Oryctolagus cuniculus: one gene and its partners. The protein of the gene in region 1 purifies or fractionates together with the protein of each later gene. This does not show direct contact. Links are inferred from orthologs where the notes say so. Each region holds a gene or a part of one and is shown in the gene's direction. Other genes may lie near its edges. The genes, in order: MTNR1A, GNAI2 and GNAI3.

What was found.
Region 2: the proteins of MTNR1A (region 1) and GNAI2 purify together in Homo sapiens (tandem affinity purification; 3 studies listed by BioGRID and IntAct, with this or other methods). This does not show direct contact. The link is inferred for Oryctolagus cuniculus from reciprocal best matches to the Homo sapiens genes MTNR1A and GNAI2.
Region 3: the proteins of MTNR1A (region 1) and GNAI3 purify together in Homo sapiens (tandem affinity purification; 3 studies listed by BioGRID and IntAct, with this or other methods). This does not show direct contact. The link is inferred for Oryctolagus cuniculus from reciprocal best matches to the Homo sapiens genes MTNR1A and GNAI3.

What each region holds. Positions count from the first base shown.
Region 1 is NC_091433.1:68,583,712-68,588,072, reverse strand, and holds the start of MTNR1A (melatonin receptor type 1A), read left to right. Parts: upstream 1-1,510; 5' UTR 1,511-1,679; coding exon 1,680-1,872; intron 1,873-4,361.
Region 2 is NC_091441.1:99,083,056-99,087,208, reverse strand, and holds the start of GNAI2 (guanine nucleotide-binding protein G(i) subunit alpha-2), read left to right. Parts: upstream 1-1,282; 5' UTR 1,283-1,498; coding exon 1,499-1,616; intron 1,617-4,153. UniProt on the Homo sapiens protein: Guanine nucleotide-binding proteins (G proteins) are involved as modulators or transducers in various transmembrane signaling systems.
Region 3 is NC_091438.1:60,832,635-60,836,217, reverse strand, and holds part of GNAI3 (guanine nucleotide-binding protein G(i) subunit alpha-3), read left to right. Parts: intron 1-443; coding exon 444-486; intron 487-602; coding exon 603-744; intron 745-3,583. UniProt on the Homo sapiens protein: Heterotrimeric guanine nucleotide-binding proteins (G proteins) function as transducers downstream of G protein-coupled receptors (GPCRs) in numerous signaling cascades.

The sequences.
Region 1 (4,361 bases):
CAAGTGGCTGCTACCACCGGCGTGTTGCAGCCAGTGTGCTGCGCTGATCCAAAGCCAGGAGCCAAGTGCTTCCTCCTGGTCTCCCATGCAGACTCCCGGGCCACAGCAGAGAGCTGGACTGAAAGAGGAGCAACTGAGAGAGAATCTGGCGCCCTGACCAGGACTAGAATCCAGGGTGCTGGTGCCGCAGGCAGAGGATTAACCTATTGAGCTGTGGCGCCAGCCAGGCTTTAATTGTTTAGTTATACCCTTAAATATATTTCTATTATTTTTCCTTGTTTATTTGAAAAAAAAAATGGTATTCATATAATTAAGATCATTAATGCTTTTTCTTTAGATATGTCCCAAATTACTTTCTCAGTTTTCCTTTGACTTTTTTCTTCTTCTTCTTCTTTTTTTTTTTTTTAATATTAAAGCCTTAAATTTTCTGTAGTCAAAGCTATCACTGGTGAGAAACACTGCCTCTCAGTAATGAGTTCCATGGCTTTGGAGCCAGAGAGAGCAAAGTTCAAATCCTACCCTAACCCATTGCTACCTGTGTGACCTCAGAACTGGGAAATGACATGGTTCTGTCATTCATAGCTGCTACCAGTCTTCATATAGTTAGTTTCTGTCCTGTTTTCTCTTCCATGCTTCAAATTCTTCTCCACACCAAGGTTATATACATATCCTACTACATTTTCTTTAAAAGCTTACTTTCAAACCTGTCTCTCTCTAACTCTATCTAAACTATATTTGGCTGTTGATGAACTTAACAGTATCATTTATTGTAATTTTTAAAGTATATTTTAGTACTGGTAAGTCATAACTCTCCTATTCATCTTATTCAAACTCCTTTTTCCTACACTTTCTTCTTATTCTGTTGGGGAAATTTACAATAATTTGCTATTTTTATCAGTTGGCATAAAGTATGGGGAAGAGAAAATGTGAAGCTTTTAATACAGGAACATATTTCTCTCCATTTATTTTTATTTATTGGTGCTCAGAAAGTTTTGAGTATTTTTTAAAACTCTGCTCTGCACACAAACTGGTTAAGTCATTACCTGGCAATTTTACATGGATTGCTCTTGTATATTGGATCTTCTATCTAATTATATCTGCCGTCTCATTTTTATCGGTATTTAAGAAAATACGTGCACACCTATCATCTGTATATAGCTTTGCATCTCATTTCATTCCCCGAGACATTCAGCACAACGTGAAACAGGGTACCCCCTCACCCCCACCAAGAGAAAAGATGCCTTGACTTTTTTCCCCACGTTTCCCTGTGAGGTTGATGAGTTAGATACGACTTTATTCCCATTTTTCAGATTCGGAAACTGGGGCACATGGTGGCTAAGAAGCTCACTTGGGCCCGAGTCGGGATCCCAGCCTGCAGTCTTGCGTTGTTGGGTTCAACGTTCCACCCCAGAGAAGAAGGCAAGGAGCGGCGGATCCCTCGGCCTCTGCGGCCTCCCTGGCCCTGCGGGCGCCTGCGGCTGGCGCGGGCTTCCGCACGGGGGCGCTGTTGGCACGTGCTGCGGGGGCCCGCGAGTCCAAGTAGCCTCGCGCCGACCCCAGGTGCCACCAGGCTGTGGCCGCGGGGCGGAGGTGGCGCGGCGAGGGCTGAGGGGAGCCATAAAAAGTGGCGGGGCGATGGTCCGGCGGCGGCCGTGAGGCGGCCCCGGCAGGGGGGAACCATGAAGGGTAACAGCAGCGCGCTGCTCAACGCCTCGCAGCAGGCGCCGGGCGGCGGGGACGGGGCGCCGCCGCGCGCCTCCTGGCTGGCCTCCACGCTCGCCTTCATCCTCATCTTCACCATCGTGGTGGACATCCTGGGCAACCTGCTGGTCATCCTGTCTGTGTATCGCAACAAGAAGCTCAGGAACGCAGGTAGGGCGCCCCGGCTTCGGCCCGCCTCAGCCCCTCGGTTCCGTCCCGTTTCCTGACAGACCCAGGCCGTCGCGAGCAGAGACCCTGGCCAGCAGCGACCCTTCTCTCAGCCTCAGGGGCCAGCGCGTCCCTGGTTCCCGTCCCCTGGCTCCCCCGTTCTGAAGTTCTGAGGTTCTTAGATTGAGCGACACTGGGAACAGCTGCAGAAAGTTTCCCAAGAAGCCCTTTCGAGTCAGATCCACCAACCGACGGCTGCTCCAGGGTAACGGAGTTCACTCAACTTTATTGAGATAACGTGAAGATGTTTTAAGTTTGCCAGTGCAGGAGCAGTGGCCTCATTTCGTTGCCAGCAGTTGTCCGTTGTTGGCGTATAATCAGAAGGAACTGTAGGTCCCTTGCAAAGTGGCTTTGCTCCTCCAAGTACACAAGTTTAGGTTTTCAAAAAAGATACGTATTTTTTTTTAATTATTTATTTGTGACACACACACACAGACTGGGGGAGAGAGAAAAGGAGAGAGACAGTTGGGATACGGTAAGTGCTTCCATCTGCGGTGGTAGGAAAGGGTACATTTACATATGAATATAACGTGGGACTAAAGCTAATTTTGTGCTTGAGTTACACTTGCTCTTCCCTCCGAGTGACGAATTGGAACTGATTTATCCTGGGTAGGAACCTGTGGACAGTTTCCCCATGACACAGGATGTGCACACCACAACATGATGATGGAGTAGATACCTGGTTTCTCATCCAGGCAAACTTTTGGGTAGAGTTGGGGAAGGATCCATGCATTTTATATATCTTCCCAGAGCGACCTTTTTGTTCTAACCAGGTAGTTGGTAAATACTCTCATTTTGTTTACCTCCTTTTTGAGTAGCACAGTCCTCCCCCCCCCACCCCCCTTTTGGTCATGAGTTAAGGGACCGAATCCTGTGTTGGTCATTCTCTGTAGTGGAAAGCAGGTTACCCACTAGGAAGAACTGAGGGCGTAGCCTGGTTACATAGACTAGGAGTTTTGATGCTAGCACGTTTGACTCTCAGAGCTCACCCTGCTTCTTGGTCACTTGGGAAGTTTGAGTCCTGCAGTAACTTTCAGTAAAAAAGTGTTCAAATACCTGGAACAACTCTTCTTGTGTTTTTTGAAAGGTACTCCTTTCACACTAGTTTGTATTCAGCTGATTTTTAAGCAGCATTTGGAGAAGAGGATCTATAAAATACTGCATTCTTGAAGCTGACCGGGAGATCCTCCATGACCTTTCATCTGTGAGGCATTAGGACTTTTTTGTTTTAATAAAGACGCTTTTTACTCAAATGGATCACTGTTGCAGTATGAACCATCTGAGGCTTTCTAGAAGAGATGGCAATTCAAAATAGGAATAGAGATACTTAATTCAAATATGAGCTTGGGGATGCTTATTAAAAGTTCTTATGATTGTTTAGTTCCTCCCATTTCCATTGGGTTTATTTTAATTTTGTGTATGAAGAGATTAAAAAAAGAGAATAGAAAATCCAAGATTAAAAACACTAAGCCAACTCAGCTTTTTTTTTTTTTTGGTTTAATTAAATTTTTTTAACTTTTATTTAAAGAATATAAATTTCCAAAGTACAGCTTATGGATTACAATGGCTCCCCCCCCCATAACATCCCTCCCACCTGCAACCCTCCCCTTTCCTACTCCCTCTCCCCTTCCTTTCACATCATGATTCATTTTCGATTCTCTCTATATACAGATGATCAGTGTAGCATACATTAAGTAAAGATTTCAACAGTTTGCTCCCACACAGAAACATAAAGTGAAACATACTGTTTGAGTACTAGTTATAGCATTAAATCTCAATGTACAGCACACTAAGGACAAAGATCCTACATGAGGAGTAAGTGCACAGTGACTCCTGTTGTTGACTTAACAAATTGACACTCTTGTTTATGGCGTCAGTAATCACCCTAGGCTCTTGTCATGAGCTGCCAAGGCTATGGAAGCCCCCTGAGTTCACCGACTCTGATCATATTTAGACAAGGCCATGGTCAAAGTGGAAGTTCTCTCCTCCCTTCAGAGAAAGGTACCTCCTTCTTTGATGACCCGTTCTTTCCACTGGGATCTCACTCGTGGAGATCTTTCATTTAGGTTTTTTTTTTTTCCCCCAGAGTGTCTTGGCTTTCCATGCCTGAAATAGTCTCATGAGCATTTCAGCCGGATCCGCATGCCTTAAGGGCTGATTCTGAGGCCAGAGTGCTGTTTAAGACATCTGCCATTCTATGGGTCTGCTGTGTATCTCACTTCCCATGTTGGATCGTTCTCTCCCTTTTTGATTCCATCAGCTAGTATTTGCAGACACTATTCTTATTTCTGTGATCCCTTTGGTTCTTAGTCCTATCATTATGATCAATTGTGAACAGAAATTGATCACTGGGACTAGTGAGATGGCATTGGTACATGCCACCTCGATGGGATTGAATTAGAATCCCCTGGTATGTTTCTAACTCTACCGTT
Region 2 (4,153 bases), on another chromosome or scaffold:
GGTGCTGATGTAGAGGGCATATTTCTGTGTTTGCCCCTGGAGGGCATCATGTGTCTTTATCATGTTTGTTGCCTGCGCCGGGCCAGCTTGAGCTCCAGGCAGGAGGGAGCGGCGGGGGAACACTGGGAGACTTACAGGCCAGGGACTTGACAACAAGGGAGACATTCAGAGGGAGACACACAGACAACTCCCGGGAGAGCGGACAGACTCAGAACTGGGAGCCCGCTAGAGAGGAGGGGACGGGGGTGTGGGTGTGGGTGGCCACACAGGCACCCTGCCTGGCATCAGAGATCTTCCCTGCCTCTGGGCCGGGCTCTCCCAGGCTCACAGCACTAGGACCACTCAGGACGCTGCAACACTTCCCACGTTCACCTGAGGTTGGGGCTGTGGGTTCCCCCAGAAAGCAGGATTGGAAAGACTTGAAAGATTCAGCTGAAAACAGTGCTGCCGGCGCCCCAGCTTTGCCCAGCCAGAGGGGACATGGGAGGTGGTACTGACCGTGGAAGGAACAGGTCATAAGATACAAGACCACAGTCACTTTTGTTTCCAGAAGCCCGGTGGTAACGTCTCTCTCATCTCTCTCTCTCTTTTTCTCTCTCTTTCTCTCTCTCTCTCCCTCCCTCCCTCCCTCCCTCTTTCCTTCGTGGCCCGGTTGCTCGGCCCAGGCTGCAGTCTTGGGTGGCTGCTGCAGGACACCGTCTCCCAGCAGATCAGGGAAGTGTGCGTGAACTCTGATGTCTCAGAAAGACAGCTCAGGTCAAGGTGTGGAGGTGGCAATCGACTTATTTTTGTTTTTGATTTTGTTACTACCCAGAGAAAGAAAGGGAGGAAACCCGCTTAAGATTGAAAAGAAAAAAAAAAAAAAAAAAAAAACACCAAAACCGCAGTCCAGAAAGGCTCTCGGGTTCTGCAGATCCCTAAACGAGTTTATTGGGTACATTAACTAACAAGTGAGGAAGACACGCCTCCTCCCCTCTCGCCCTACTTGTAGAGGGCGGGCTCGTGCTCGGCCCTCGGGGCACCGGCTCCCCACCCTCAGGGTACTCTACCCGCCCGCCGCCGACTCCGGGCGCCCGGTACCCAATGGGAGCCCGGCCCCGCCTGCAGCCCGCCCAGTGCCCGGTCTCCCCGTTGGGCTCCACCGCTATCGCGGTCCCTCCGCGTGGCCCCGCCTCCAGCCGGCCGCAGCCGGGGCTGCGCCTCACTTTGCCTCTCGCTCCTCCCTCGAGCCAATCGCCAGCCCCGAGTCTCTTACGGTGCCGCCCCCCAGGCCCGCCCCGGCCCAGTCCCGGGCTCCGCTCACCGGGGCCCCACCCCTGGCCCGCCCCGCCGTCGGTGCGCGGCCACGGGGAAGGCGCCTCCCGCAGACGCTCGGAACTGCCGACCCGAGAGCTAACCCGCGGAGGGCCGGCGGCGGGAGCGGAGTGGGTCGGGCGGGGCCGAGCCGGGCCGTGGGCCGTGTGGGGGCCGGGCGGCGGCCGGGCCGGCGGACGGCGGGATGGGCTGCACGGTGAGCGCCGAGGACAAGGCGGCGGCCGAGCGCTCAAAGATGATCGACAAGAACTTGCGGGAGGATGGCGAGAAGGCGGCGCGGGAGGTGAAGTTGCTGTTGTTGGGTGAGGCCGCGCCCCGCGCTGGGACCCTTGACTTCCCAGACAAGACAGAGACAAGACAGAGGCTTCAGGCTCACCAGTCTGGATCCCATCTGGGCTTGAACCCTTAGCAGCCTGGCCGAGACCTGCAAATAAGGGTGGGCGATTCTGGGTTGATCTAGACCTGTGGTCCTACCCAGAGACCTGGGTAGCTCACCCCAGACTCAGCAACCCCTAACCAAGCCAGCAGTGCCCCAACATCGCTGCCCAGACCCCTGCTTGATTGTCTCTTCCGACTGACCAGCCTCACATAGCCTTTCCATCCTCCGTTAGCTGCTACCCAGACCCCGGCACCCCACTCTGCCTCCACCCTTGGGCTTCACCTGTTTCCCCTACCTGTTCCCCGGATTCCTGTTGGGCAGGAGCATCCCCAGGGCCCCACCAGCTCCCTGCCCCATTCTGTGTCCCACCCACCCTCTGAACCTGTGCCCTGCACCTGTGCACCCCGACCGTCAGGGTGGGAGCTGGCTGCTCCGGAGCCCTGTCTCTCCAGCCAGAACCTCTAGAGACCCATCTCTGCAGGCCTCCCTCGCCACACCTGTGCCCTTCCTCCCCTAAGTGCTGCCCCCTGATCCTCCACTCCTCCTGCACCAGGTGGGCCTGGCTCTGAGAAGACCCCCCGCCCCGGGGGGAGGGGACGTTTAGGCAAATCCTCCAAAGGGGCTGGGCTGAGGCTCCACTGGTCCCGCTGGGGGAGGGGGCCAGGCTCAACTTTCCAGGGAGACTCCGCTCCTTGGGAATTTGTTTTCCCGTCTCCAAGGCCTGGCTGGGCTGCCGAGAGGGAAGTATGTGAAGTGGGAGGGCATGTGGAGGAGGCCGGGGTTGTGGCTGCTTCCAAGGCCAGGGAAGATGGTGGCTGCTGGGGTGGTGGGGGAAGTGGAAGTGGTGAGACAGCCGACATGTTGCTGCCCCTGCAGGCGCCAGGGAGATCCGCTGATGGGGCCTGGGCTGTGGGCTCCGCGAGGGGGTGGGCCTGTCGGATCTTGGGGCTGTGTGAGGGGGGTGGTGGAGCTGAGCGAGGGGTTGGGGGGCCAGCTGTGATGGGTCAGGGTGCCCCCAGGCATCTGAGCTGGCCTTTTGCAAAGATTTTGGGTCTGCTGGTGGTCCCTGGCCAGCCTCCTGCTGGGAGCAGGGGTGGTGCCCAGTGGAAGCCTGGTTTGGGGGGGTTTCGGGTGGGGGCAGGCCCTCCGAACAGCGGTACAGGCTGGATAGTACGTGTGTGGGGGTGTGGTCCCTCTGCCTCGGAGCGGCCCGGGAGCCTCCAGGCTGTGAAAAGCGGGGCTTTTCACGCTGGGCCTGTGGCCCAGGAAAAGCATGTAGCTCTATTATGGGCCCATCTGTTGACTGTCCCTGCGGGCCCGGCCTCAGGGGCACAGCCCCGGAGGTTTCAAAATGGCATCCGTTCCGCGGGGAGGAAGAGAAGGGGAGGGAAGGGGCGGCGGCCCAGCCTCCTGGGCTGCCTTGCGTTGGGCGCTTGCCTCTTCCTGTCTGCTGCGAGTGCAGCGGCGGTGAGTGGGTGTCGACGCGGCGGAATGCCCGTCGCTGCCGGGCCTGGGAGGGCACTTCCGGTACCCGCTGCCTCCCTGCGCCCAGCCAGGAGCCTCTGGCCAGCCCTCCCTAGGCTGATCACGGCCCTTCTGGTGGCTGAGGGGACAGGGGAGTGGGCCGCAGGGTCAGGGGACACAGGATGCTTGGCCTGTTCTTTGCCCCGACTCCGAAGTGTCCCCCAGTCCCACCAGGCATGCCCCTGGGAGCCCAGCGAAGCTTTTGGGCCAGACCAGGTGGGACCTGGCAGCCCCTCCCCCGCTGGGCCCATAGCAGCCAGAGTGCAGTGTCTGGCTCAGCACTTTCTGGCCTGAGGCGTCCATCCCGGTGTTAGGCCTCTCTGGCCTTTGCTGCCTCTGTAAAATGGGCTTCCTGGGTTTGGGCCAAACAAGTGCTGCCTCAGGCAGGACAGAGAGAGCGGGAGTTTGGTAGCTGTGCGGGCTAGGGACTGAGACCCTGCAGAGTGTGAACTGCACGAGGCTGGGAAACCAAGCTCTGCCTGGACCGCAGGACCCTGTCTGCTGTGGCTGCTGGGGAAGGGTCCTGGCTTGAGCCGTCCCTTCCCCTCCAGATAGAAGGTGGCGGTGGGAGCCCGGCTGTGGCCGGTTCTGAGTTCTGGGCGCCTGTCTCACGTAGCGGGAGACTCTGTCCAGGCAACGGGCCTCAGGCTGGGTAACTGCCAGCCTTCTCTGTCTGCCAGAACCACGCCTGCTGCCCCACCCGCACGCTGGCTCCCTCTCGTCCCTGGTAGCCCTGCCAGGAGGCGGGCACAGTCGCTGTCACCAGGGCAGGGGCAGATGTAGTACACACTGGCACGAGGGTTTTTCCTGGCAGCTTGACGCAGAGGAGCCGCTACCACTCCTGCTTCAGGGACGCCCCCCACCCCTACCCAGTTCAGCTCAACTGACCAGCAAGGCCCATATGGAATCTGGGGCTTGAGGACTGGCGCTTAAGGG
Region 3 (3,583 bases), on another chromosome or scaffold:
TAAGAAGGGCAGTGCAGAGTGCAGTGTTGAAGGTGTATACCCTCAACTGGAAAGTGGTGGGGACAGTGCCCTCCTTGCTTTGGTGTTCAACCTTTTCACTCCCAAGACCAGGAAGATTGCTCTTGGAACATTTCTCAGTTCCACAGTTACAGACTTCCTGGAGATTTTACGCTTATGTTGCTGTCGATCCTTGGTGCATCTGTTTTACATAAATGGTATCAAGCAGACCCTGGGACCCTTTCAATAAAGTATACTTGGTTGCTCAGTTATATAAAGAAAGTAAAATTCTCTGAGAAGTGCCATGGTGGTTTCCCTGATAGACATAAAATCCTTACCAACAGTTTCCTTATGAGGGCTTGTGGTTTCCATTAAGCTAGAGCTATCATTTGTGTTGGCTTCATATATTTGTTCTTGGTTTAAGGTTTGTTATTCTTTTCTTTCAGGTGCTGGGGAATCTGGTAAAAGCACTATCGTGAAACAGATGAAGTAAGTTGGAACATGAGCTTTTTTAAGAGTAGATTTCCTCCCAGTGAATAAAAAGTCCATAGTATCTTTTTATTTTAGATTCGTGGTATTGACTTGTAGTTTTCTTCCTTTCAAAGAATCATTCATGAGGATGGCTATTCAGAGGAAGAATGTAAACAATATAAAGTAGTTGTCTACAGCAATACTATACAGTCCATCATTGCAATCATAAGAGCCATGGGACGGCTTAAGATTGACTTTGGGGAAGCAGCCAGAGCAGTGAGTATTTCTCATTTCCTTTTTGCTTGCTCTTATTCAATAGATGCAGTTAAGTTAAGCAAAATTTACTTCATGTTTTAGGGAAATGAAGTTAAACAACAATATAAGATGTAGAAAAGTATTCTTTTTAAAAAATTTATTTATTTGAAAGTCAGATTTACACAGAGAAAGGACTAGAGAGAGAGAGAAATATCTTCCATCTACTGGTTCACTCCCAAATGGCCACAGAGCCTGGGGCTGGACCAGGCTGAAGTCAGGAGCCAGGAGCTCCTTCTAGATCTCATACATGGGTGCAGGGACCCAAGCACTTGGGCAATCCCCCATTGCTTTCCCAGGCGCATTAGCAGGGAGCTGGGTCAGAAGTGGAGCAGCTGGGACTAGAACCAGCTCCCATAAGGGATGCTGTCATCACAGGCAGTGGCTTTACCTGCTACGCCACAACACCGGCCCCTAGGAAAGTAGTTTATGTTCATTTGAGAAGTGTTATCGATCTGCTATAGAAAATATTAGGTATCATCATAAGAAAAAATTAGTAAATGGGATTCAGTGCATATATTGTAGGTTTCTTTGGTAACTTCAACTGCCTCTTTTACAGAACTGTTGACTTTTACAGTAGTTAATAATAAGAGGTAGGGGCCGGTGCCGTGGCTTACTTGGCTACTCCGCCTGTGGCACCAGCATCCCATATGGGCGCCGGGTTCTAGTCCCGGCTGCTCCTCTTCTAGCCCAGCTCTCTGCTGTGGCCCGGGAGGGCAGTGGAGGATTGCCCAAGTTCTTGGGTGCCTGCACCCCCGTGGGAGACCAGGAGGGGGCACCTGGCTCCTGGCTTCTGATCGGCATAGCTCCGGCCATAGCGGCCATTTGGGGGGTGAACCAACAGAAGGAAGACCTTTCTCTCTGTCTCTGTCTCTCTCACTGTCTATAGCTCTACCTGTCAAATAATATAAATAAATAAATAAGAGGTAATTAAAATAATAAAAAGTAAAGTTTATCATGCTTCATAGTTCTCTCTGAGGTATAGATATTAAAGGCAAAAATCTGTCTCCTAAAATAAACTCTGTAAGAATGTGAGCATTCCTTTCTCTCTCTCTCTCTCTCTCTCTTCTCTGTAACTCTACCTCTCAAATAGGGAAAAAACAAACAACAACAAAAAACTGTGAGCATTAAGTACAACTTTAGAGATGATTTTCAAGTATTCAAGAATACTATACCCGGCCGGCACCGCGGCTCAACAGGCTAATCCTCCGCCTAGCGGTGCCGGCACACCGGGTTCTAGTCCCGGTAGGGGCGCCGGATTCTGTCCTGGTTGCCCCTCTTCCAGGCCAGCTCTCTGCTGTGGCCCAGGAGTGCAGTGGAGGATGGCCCAAGTGCTTGGGCCCTGCACCCCATGGGAGACCAGGAGAAGCACCTGGCTCATGCCTTTGGATCAGCGCAGTGCGCTGGCCGCGGTGGCCATTGGAGGGTGAACCAACAGCAAAGGAAGACCTTTCTCTCTCTCTCTCTCTCTCACTGTCCACTCTGCCTGTAAAAAAAAAAAAAAAAAAAAAAAAAACTATACCCTAAACTACATTGAACCATAGACTATTAAATTGAATTATACCATATCCTATTTTAAATCTTTAATGCCTTGTCCGTATCAGATAAAGTCAGTGAATTGAGAGTCTTCCTGAAAAGGCAAAAGGCAAAGCCTCCTTGTCTGTGGTTTAGGAGCTCTTGCAAATAACTTTCAACTTATCAAATGCAAATTTACATTTAATAAGCAGGAAACTAGGGCTGGAGCTGTGGTGCAATGGGTTAATGCCTTGGCCTGAAGTGCCAGCATCCCATATGGGCGCAGGTTCTAGTCCCGGCTGCTCCTCTTCCGATCTAGCTCACTGCTGTGGCCAGGGATAGCATTCCTTGGGCCCCTGCACCCGCATGGGAGACCCAGAAGAAGCTCCTGGCTCCTGGCTCCAGATTGGCGTAGCTCCGGCCGTTTTGGCCATCTGGGGAATGAACTACCGGATGGAAGACTTCTCTCTCTCTCTCTCTCTCTCTCTCTCTCTCTCTGCCTCTCCTCTCTCTGTGTAACTCTGACTTTTGAATAAATAAATAAATCTTAAAAAAAAATAAGTAGGAAACTGTTGAAGGTGAAAGTATTGACAGGGTGATATATCCTATAATACCAAATAGGATTAGGGTAGAAAGTATCTGAAAAGTAGCTTAAGAGAAGGAGGAGCAAGATTAGAGTTTGTAAAATGATGGGAGAGAAGAGTAGCAAAAAAGAAGGCAAGAGAAAATGCATGAGTGTGATTTTTATATTTGTGTAAAAAGGTGCCACATCATTAGAGATTTAACTCCTAGCAGAGAAAGTTGATAGTTCGAACAATAGTCTTTTGTTCTTGTCTTACCCCTTTCTCTCCCTTCCCTTTTCATTCTTTTCTTTGTACCAGCTGATCCTCTGGGCTTATTTTCTCCCTCTCCTTTTTCATTCCTTCTAGTCCCCTAACTCTACTTCTCTGTTGTATCTTTTTTTTTTTTTTAAGACTTATTTTATTTATTTGAAAGAGTTACAGAGAGAGGTAAAGATAGAAAGAGAGAGAAGTTTTCCATCCACTGTTTCACTCCCCAAATGGTTGCAAATGGCTGGAGCTGAGTGGATCTGAAGCCAGGAGCCAGGAGCTTCTGAGTCTCCCATGTGGGTGCAGGAGCCCAAGCACTTGGGCCATCCTCTGTTGCTTTCCCAGATGCATTAGCAGGGAGCTGGATTGGAAGTAGAGCAGCCAGGACTCTAACCAGCTCCCCTATGCGATGCTGGTGCTGCATGCTGGGGCTTTAACTTGCTGCTCCATAGTGCTGG